Linked DNA regions of Drosophila melanogaster. The protein of the gene in region 2 purifies or fractionates together with the protein of the main gene of each other region. This does not show direct contact. Each region holds a gene or a part of one and is shown on either strand. Other genes may lie near its edges.

Region 1 (5,038 bases), on a different chromosome or scaffold from region 2:
CGACTGGTGCGGGTTTATGTGTCCCCAGGGTAGAATTTTATGTGCTGTTTTGCCTCGGTTCGGTTTTTATGGCCCACGAATGCACTTTACACCTCGGCCATTAAATCATTCATTAGATGCGCGGGGGGAAGCCTTATTAGTCCAACAGATAAGACAAATTTCAATCAACCACGCCGAAGATTTATGGGCGATATTATGAGTAGTGACCCAAATATACCAACCAGAAATCCATAGTTGTTTGTAAACTTTATGCTACAGATTAGACTAATTTCAATACGGGGCACGCGTGTCAAAGATTTATGAATAATAACACAGAAGCACAATCGCCTGCAAGCGAAATCTTATTATGTTACACATTTTCCATTTTTGGAGGAATTTCATTAGCACCTTTGCGTTTGCGTAAACAATTTCCGAGTTTTAAAGGCGCCAACCGAAAGGCTGTAAACAAAACATTTTGTTTTGTCTAATTAAAGCTCCCAAAAAATTGATAAACATCGAGAAAGAGTTCTATATTATAAAAGCTGTCTTTAGCGCCGAAGGGAAAAACACTCCAACGCATATTTTTATACGAATATTTTAAATAATAAATTTATTAATGCGCCATAGCAAAACAAGTTTCGTGCGATCCAAAAATGTATGAATGGTAATTCCAATAAAAGCACACATGTACGGCAAATATTAATGAATAAATTCAGCATTTCGCCAATTGGTGTGCTAATTTGCATTGGAGCCAAGTAACAGAAAATTATAAATTATAAGCAATGGGAATTAATGAGGGGATTTGGCACTTACCTGATCTTGACAAAAGTATCCAAATCCGATGATGCCGGCGATGGCCAGGAAGAGGCAAAACACAATGATTGTTCGGATTTTGGAGCGCGGTTCCATTTTCTTGATTTCATAAACACCACTGGGCAGCAATAAGGCAAAATCACTATCGACTTGAACAGATACGTTCTTATGCATATCCCCGGGCATGTTCCATTCCCTGGCCTCCCTCGAAAATCGCACTAAAGGTCCAACAAGGGTCCACCCGAGTGGAGTCCAAGCGGGTATCCGTATCGGCCTAGCGCAACGAGAACCAGACGCGAATCGGAGGCGAGGCCAACTCAATCATACTTCAGTCGCTGCCCGATAAGAACTCGAAAAATGGGAACACCTTCGCCCATTGCACTTGGCGCGGAAATGGGTTTTCCTTGTCTCTCGGCTTTCAGTGCCTGCAAATGGAGTAAGAGTGAAAAACGGTTAGAAACCTATTAGTTTTGGGAGCACTACAAAAGCAACACCGTTTCCGATTAGTTACCACTTGACCATGCCGATAAAGCGGTCTGTCAAATTGTCTAGCCCTTATCTAGCCACTTACTTAGTAGCTGAAAGCTCTTCAGGGGAAAATCAAAAATAGTTTTTAAGAACCTAAATCTATGGCAGACTGATAAGAAGTTCACAATTAAAACGTACATACATAGTTAATTGGACTTTCTATTTTTTTGTTAGGGTCAAAAACTGATAAGCAGGCGGTGAAGTTGATTTATCGTTTAATCTGACCCTATTTTAATTGCAAATCTATTAGTAAGTATTCAAGACGGGCGTGAATAACAAACGTTTGTGCAATAACAAATTTATCTTTATTTGTGTGGGAAATCTTAAATTAAATTTCCACGCGCGAATGCGATCTGCAAATGTATAGCGTAACGATAAAATACATAAATCAACCAATAATGACGCAATAGTGGAAAGTGAATGGCGGAGCCGAAAGCAATGCATTTAGTATACCCTTAATCAATTAAAAATACGTTTAAATACGTTTATTATTTAAAGCAAAAAACCTACATCCGTACATGATAATACGTGCAATTACTCAAATAATAACTTATTATAGTTAAAAAATAGTTTGTACTTATTTCATTTAATATTTAAATTATCTAGTGATTCTTTATTTATAAGAACATATTGTAGTTCAGTTATAAAAATAGTTATCAATAATATGGTAAATATAATGAATGAACAGCCTTTGTTGTATGGGTGATTATTATCACAAGTCGCTTTATCTGGCTTCGATATTGTTTATATGTGATAAACCCGATTGGAAAATGCGTAACATATTAGGGTTTGAATGATATTGACTACATGCGAGTAAGTTGCATTTAGGTAGGGTATTTAAATGTACAAACACCCAACTAAAATAACTGGCGATCGGCAGTCGGAGTGACGCCCAAGCATAACTGGTGCCTTATATTTATGTAGGCGCTTTTTACTTCACGATCGGTGCTTCTGTAGCGATCACAATTATTGTAAACAAATGGAAAAGTTGCTTATTGGCAAATTGGACTAACAGAGAGACAAGAAAAAAAAGGCAGATGTGGCGAAACATGTTGCCAGGCAACAATAACAAAAAAGCATGCATGCTGTGCACACATGGCCGTTTAATTCACTTCTCTGTACTCTAAACTATACTTAAACCATGCTAATTGCCTACCCAAATTATCAGGTTTTTCGAGGCAGTGACGTCAGGGCAAGGAGTATAATTATAATAATAGAATCAAACGATTTAGCAACATTGCAGTAAAAAAAAACAGAAGCAAAGGGGAGCAACAAAAACAGAGAGAGGGCAAAATAAGAGAGAGGACAACCAGACAGAGCGAGATGCCAAACAACAGCTGTTCTTCTTGCCAGATGCGAAATGGGCAATTTAATGAAATTTATCTAGATTTCACTCACTTTTCACTTGCCAAACGTCGTGTTTGTGCACTTTTCACAATTGTCGCGGCGTCACACGTTTATTTATTTACATTTCTCTGCGTTTCAGGCGCTCGCACGCTCAATTAGCGCGCTTTCCGCTTTGTGCCACACATTCTGTGCCAGCCACAAAAAAGCCCGCAATTCGCACTTTCATGTGTTTTCGGCTATTTCTGCGATCGTTTTTCCTGCACTTGCACTGCTCAATAGCTAATGTTTAGTTAATTGACACTTTCTAAGCGTTTTGCGTATATTTTTTACGAATTATTTTGGCAAAACGACGCGGTACCAGCGTCAACGTCCGCATTCTTCAAAATCGGCGAATGAACTGAACAAAACGAACTGCGCAAGTTGGGCAATAGGAACAGCTGACCGCGCTGCCAGACTGCCGAACGGAAACTCGCTGCGAGAGTCTGGCAGCACTTGCAACCATCGATATAAACTATTGGTAACGAATATTTAAAGAATTAACTTTATAGTTCCATTGAAAATACATACATAAAACAACTATAATTATGATACCTAACATAAAACATCGTAATATCTTATTTATAGTTATCTTTTGTATGCAATATTCAATTTTAAGTTAATTAGATAAACACCAAACGTTTTTTTATTTGTGAAAATAGAAAAAGAATTCAATAGAAACAAGTTTTCAAGGCAATCTGCATATTCTTAAATCCAACTTTATGGGCACTTTTGAATATTCATTTATTTTGCAGCCCTAGCAATCGCTGAGCGATAACCATAAGTTGACTATCGATAGCAGCAGAGCGATATGCAAAACAAACGAAAAAAGTAAAAGAGCGGTGTAAAGCAGACAACATAGTTTACATTTTTTGCAACAAGTTTTTCAACTTAAAGCCAACTCCCATCGTCCAATGGAGGTGGACCAGATTCCCCTGGCCGACGTGGTCTTCGTCATCGAGGGCAGCGCCATCAACGGAGCCTACATCAACGAACTAAAGACCAACTACATCCTGCCGACTTTGGAGCACTTCACCACTGGCTCCATCGACGAGCGGGAATACCTGATTGCGGAGCGCTTTGCCACTCTGTACGGTATTGTGGTCTACCGTACAGCGGCCAATCTGCTGGAGCCAGTTTGTTCAACCTATGGTCCCTTTCTGCAGCCCCAAAAAGTGATGGAGACGATCGAAAGATTGCCACTAGTGGGAGGCGGAATGGAGTCCTGTGCCCACATGGCCGAAGGATTTGCTGCGGCCCACGGCTGTTTTGATGACATCAGCGAAAGGCGCCAGTTGCTCGATCAGACCAGCGTCCAGAGGCACTGCATTCTCATCTGCAACAGTCCGCCGTACCAGATGCCCACAACGGAGTCGTGGAAGTATCCGGGCAAATCATGTGAGCAGCTGGCGGCGCTCTTCAACGAGCGCAAAATCAATCTCTCCATTATTGCGCCACGCAAGATGCCGGTGTTGTTCAAACTTTTCATGAAGGCCGACGGAGATCAGCCCATTACGAGCAAAAACTATGCCAAGAACATAAGACACCTAGTGCTTCTAAAGGGATACAGCCTCAAGGAGAGAGCACCTAGTCCCAACAGCATGGCGGCCCAAATGGCTGCACCCAATGCGGCACAGGCTACAGTGCAGCAGCAACAACAACAGCAACAAAATCAAGCTGGTCAGCAACAACAAGGGCAGGGCATGCCCATGGACACCACTCCAGCCCAGCAGCAGCAACAGCAACAACAACAGCAGCAGCAACAGCAACAACAAGGCAATCCTCAGCAGCAGGTCATGAACATGAACACGATGCAGCAACAGCAGCCCGGTCCAAATCCCCCAGCGGGCTTACTCAATCCACAGCAGCAGCAGCAACTATTGCAGCAGCAGCAGCAGAATCAATTCGTTTCCAATCAAATGCAGAATCAGAACTTCCAGCAAAACGTGGGACCCGGCCAAAACCGCTGGATGTATCCCAACCAGCCTGGTCAGGCGCGTCCGCCCTTCATGCAGGGAGCAGGCAATGTGGGCGGTGTGGGCCAAGGCGGCGGCATGCAACAGAATCCAAATTCTGCTCTGATATCGCGCATTAATGCGCCGCCGCCGAACCAAACTGTGACCTCGCTGCAGCAGCAGCAACAGCAGCAGGCGCAGCAGCAGCAGCAGCAGCAACAACAGGCCCAACAGCAGCAGCAACAAAGGATGCAGATGCTGAGCCAGCAGCAGATGCTAAATCACCAGCAGTTGCAGCAGCAACAGCAACTGGCCCAGCAACAGCAACAGCAGCAGCAAGGACAGCAACAGCAGCAGGTAAATCCCAATGCAGGAAACAA
Region 2 (4,749 bases):
TGTGTAAGTTATTGCTTTGGCTATCACTCCTCCCGTTCGACACAACAGTAACTTTCTGCTTTTCTGCCGGACACTAGCTAATGTACCTTCTTTCGACTGGCGTGTCCGCGTTCCACGATCAAGTGATCAACTGACTGACGGGGGCTGTGGGTAATTCGAGCTCATTTGCTTTTAGTTTCAAGCACGAGCAATTAATTAAGTATTTCACTGCTCGCCGTTTCCAAATGTATTTCCATGCCATTTCTTGCGCTTGCCTGAGCCCATTCTGCGTGTCGGACCGCCATTCCGCCATTTAGCCATTCGGTCATTCCGTCCTCCAGTCAGACGATCACCTTCGAGCACGGAGCTACGTCAGCCTTTAAAGTCCGGCGGAATTTCGTTGGGCAGCCAAGTGCAATTAGCTAAGTCGAAGTACAGAACGCTGAAAGTTAAAAGTAACCCACTGATGGCATTAATCAATTTACGAACACGCAATCCCAGCGACAGCTGTTGATACGCACAGCGCGCTTCACATGGACATACAGACAGACAGACGGACAGACACTCCATTATCTATTAGGTATTTACATGCATTTAATTTGAATGTCAAATTCAGATTTATGGCCTAGCCTATGAGAGTTACAAACAATGAGAGTCGATTACATATGAATTTACACCTATTTCTAGTTCTACGTATGCATATCGATTCAATTCATCCATTCATTCCGTTGTATTGTCGAGTATAAAACGTACATTTGACTAATCATATAGAGATATTGTGCAGACAATTGTTGCTAGATATTGCTTACGATGAACTACAAAAGCGTTCTCGCCTGTTTTATACGTTTAAAGCTTAGACTACGTACAAAAGGTTTGGGTTAGTAATATGTCAACGATATTCAATGCTAAAGTCTTAGGTAGCGCTTAAGTGTACGGATGAGTTACTCTTAAGTACAGATCAAATCTATGCGAAGGAGAATTACGTATTTACAATACAATTGTCGGAGACTCCTGGTTAGATCACTGGAGTCGGCCGAATCCTCGCTCTGCGACTCCGTCGCCTCCTCTGCAATCATTTGGGCCGAATCTTCTCGTACATGAATTTCTGCACGTGCTTGTTGTCCGGCTGCATGAGCTTCTTCTTGTTGAACTCGAATTGGGCCAGCGCGAAATCGTACAGATCGTTTTCCATTTGCCAGATTTTTGTCTTTTGAATGGATTTAATTGTCGATTCGCTGGGCGGAAGCTTGGAAGATGTCACCCGCAGATGAGATTTGTTTGAATTATGATAGTGCTCACGAAAGCCGTGAAAAATTCTGCAAAAGAAAAAAAAAGAACAGGTCAATGAAGCAACTGGAGTATTCTAAAACAGACAATAACATATGGTTGGGAGGCACACCTTGGAAGGGATCTCTCGAGCAGATCCACAAACTCGTACATCTGCTCTGTGACTCCGACTAGGAAGTATTCGTTGACTAGATTGCGCTTGGCCTGGTCCAAGGCCCAACTGCTGCCGGGTTCCCAGCACTCGGCTGCATGGCCACAGAAGAAGGGTATCTGCAGCCACATGTTTTTGGGATCACAGTCGGGTTGTTTCTGCACCACGCACTCATCGAAGGTCTGCAAAGATGTGTGAGGGCTTTGGTTACAGGGAGGTTAATACCTTGATGCTCTACCTACAATTTTATTGCCCGCCTTCTTGCGGACTAAATTCGGTCGGTAGTTGTCGCCAAAGCGTAGAAAGTAATAGTAGGAGACAAGTCTGTCGAGCGGTTTGCGCACCAAATTGATGTAGATGGGCTTGTGGGCGATTTGGAATCTGCAAAGGAGTAATGCAATTGAGACGGGCTCTGCTGGATTGGCTAGATGTTACCTACTTTGAGAAGTCTAGGAAGGCCATGTGGCCGTGATAAAGAGCTGGCTTCATCTCGTGCCACCTGGAAACATTGCGCACGAATTGGATTTGATTGGGAAGCGAGAGGACGTGCATGTTGGCAGTGACATTGATGTGCAGCACATGGAATTTATTGGGCTTGCACAGATCGTATGCTATGTTAACAAAGCTGGTGGATCCCGTTTTCGGTACGCGATTGTAAAGCACCACTAGGTGCTCCTCGAAGTCAAAGTCATCGGTGGTGGACGAGGCATGCTGATCTGGGCTCAGAGAATCGCCCAGCTTGGAAAGCGGCTTGAAGGCTGCACAAAGTAGGTAATGGGTGTAAAAGTGATATGGTTTTGCCTAACTACCGGACTCCACTTACCATGTTCCAGGCGAATCTCTGACCAAAGCAACCAGTAACCTGCACAGGTGACCGCGCACAGGGCTATCAGGATCAGCCAGTGGGTGGGTCGGAGCAGAATCCACATCTTAAGCAGTTTCCTAAACATGCCTCGTGTCGGTTTGCCCTACAGGTCAGCACGGTAGCTCATATCAGCGTATTTATTTCAGCATAATCTCAGGTCGTTGTTTTCCTTGTTTTTTTTCTGCAACCAACATCGAGCAGTGTTGGTCAGCAGCTGCTGGACAGTGCTGCAAGGCACTGAAATCTGGTGAATCTGTGGGAATGTGCAGCTGTAGCTGAGATGACTAAATTAGTGATGGAAAATAGCTCAAAATGCTAGCTCGGATAATTGCATTTAATTTCCAGCTAGGAATCCGTAAATTAATTGCCTTATATTTATAACTTCAATAAATATGTTTTTCCTAAAACACAACACAGAATATTTTAGGCCAGTCACAACCAGATCTGCATCACCCTTCAGCAACCCTTTTGCCTTGAGCATCACTGTTTTTATTAGTGTGACCACCCTTGCCGGCAAATAATACCAAGCAATGCCAAAATTCTAGCGCCCATTTTTGCGAGGTTAAAATAAATTTCGCAAGCCGGCTGCAATCGCAAAGTACAGTGCGACTTATATACACTCGTATAAAATAATTCCATTTAAAAGCAAGCATGTCCACCTTTAACTTCGCCAGCATGGCCGCCCAACTGGGCCAGGAGCAGGGAATATCATTCGAGAACAAGGTGCTTTCCTGGAACACAGCTGCCGATGGTAAGTTTGGGTGACGCTTTGGGTACTCCATGCAGTGGCTATATTGAGGCTTTTTACAGTCCAGGATGTGGTGGATGCCCTTAACAAACAGACCACCGTGCACTATCTGAATCTGGACGGGAACACACTGGGCGTTGAGGCCGCCAAGGCGATTGGTGAGGGTCTGAAGCGTCATCCAGAGTTTCGGAAGGCGCTGTGGAAGAACATGTTTACTGGTCGTCTCATATCGGAGATTCCGGAGGCACTCAAGCACCTGGGAGCCGCGCTAATTGTCGCGGGCGCCAAACTGACAGTCCTGGATCTCAGCGACAATGCCTTAGGACCGAATGGCATGCGAGGCTTAGAGGAGTTACTGCGATCCCCGGTCTGCTACTCGCTGCAGGAGCTGCTGCTGTGCAATTGTGGCCTTGGTCCCGAGGGCGGTAGTATGCTGTCCCGGGCTCTGATCGATCTGCATGCCAATGCCAACAAGGCGGGCTTCCCGCTCCAGCTGCGTGTGTTCATAGGTTCGCGCAATCGTCTCGAGGATGCCGGTGCTACGGAAATGGCAACCGCATTCCAAACCCTCAAGACCTTCGAGGAGATTGTTCTGGAGCAAAACTCCATTTACATCGAAGGCGTCGAGGCCCTTGCCGAATCCTTCAAGCATAATCCTCATCTACGAGTGCTAAACATGAACGACAATACTCTAAAGTCCGAGGGAGCTGAAAAAATAGCTGAGGCTCTTCCCTTCTTGCCACTGTGAGTCGGTTATAAAGTTTTTGATGAGGGAGAGTGAGTGAGTGTTATGTGATATCTTTTTGCTTTGCAGGCTGCGTGAAATGAGCTTTGGAGACTGCCTGATCAAAACTAATGGCGCCTACCACTTCGGTGAGGCTCTGGAGAGAGGAAACGAACGACTGGAAGTTATCGACTTAGGTTTTAACGAAATCAACAGCGACGGCGGCTTGGTGTTGGTGAATGCTATGGGAAACAAGCCCAAGCTACGCATCTTGAATCTAGATGGCAATAGCTTTGGAGAAGAAGGCAGCGAGAAGATAATCAGCGAGATGAGTAAGTTGCCAACTGCTGCCGCACTGCAACCGTTTCAGCACCAGGAAGAGGAGGATTTGGAAGATGAATACCAGGCTGACAAGCAGGACGCAGATTACGAAGAGGAAGAGGAAGTACACGAGCACGCCAACGATACTACCGAAGAAGCAGATGAGGATAGCGAGGGCGACGAGGACGACGAGGAAGACGAGGGAGACGAGGAGTACAGCAACGTCGCGGAGGAGACTGCCTATGTCACTACGAATGCCTACACGACCAAGGTTAGTTTATACTTCGGAGTACTGTGCAAATGGTAACAGCAATTAATCGAATTATCTTTAATTTTAAATTTTCACAGCTTTTTAACGACACAACCAACTCGATGGCCAGCGAAACTTTTGCGGTCGCGAACAAGACGATCAGCCAAAAATGCACTCCAGAGAAGTTCTGTTTGAGCCAGAAACCCTGCTCCCAGGAAGATTTCGATTCGCTAGATATGGATAACAAACTTGAGGCTTTGCAGTCGATTGTCAACGTAAGATATTCTCAATAATTAGAATGCAATTAGAGTAACGTAACATTTTTGTACAGCAATTCACCGGCGACAACCATTTGCTACTGCTCGTCTTCACCACCTTGAAGTGCGCGCATTTGTCGCAATCCTCGAAAGCTGCGTTGGATCTG

What was found. The genes of interacting proteins can lie anywhere in the genome.
Region 1: the proteins of Hs2st (region 2) and Hs6st purify together in Drosophila melanogaster (affinity purification with western blotting, with the first as the bait; one study listed by BioGRID). This does not show direct contact.

The regions. Positions count from the first base shown.
Region 1 is NT_033777.3:20,005,443-20,010,480, forward strand, and holds the start of Hs6st (heparan sulfate 6-O-sulfotransferase), read right to left. Parts: upstream 3,071-5,038; 5' UTR 2,719-3,070; intron 1,218-2,718; 5' UTR 979-1,217; coding exon 793-978; intron 1-792. Other genes in the region: MED25 (mediator complex subunit 25), read left to right, coding at 3,618-5,038.
Region 2 is NT_033779.5:19,442,253-19,447,001, forward strand, and holds Hs2st (heparan sulfate 2-O-sulfotransferase), read right to left. Parts: upstream 2,499-4,749; 5' UTR 2,368-2,498; coding exon 2,241-2,367; intron 2,176-2,240; coding exon 1,857-2,175; intron 1,799-1,856; coding exon 1,660-1,798; intron 1,600-1,659; coding exon 1,379-1,599; intron 1,296-1,378; coding exon 1,052-1,295; 3' UTR 581-1,051; downstream 1-580. Other genes in the region: RanGAP (Ran GTPase activating protein), read left to right, coding at 2,934-3,033, 3,093-3,774, 3,845-4,346, 4,424-4,600, 4,657-4,749. UniProt on the Drosophila melanogaster protein: Catalyzes the transfer of sulfate to the C2-position of selected hexuronic acid residues within the maturing heparan sulfate (HS).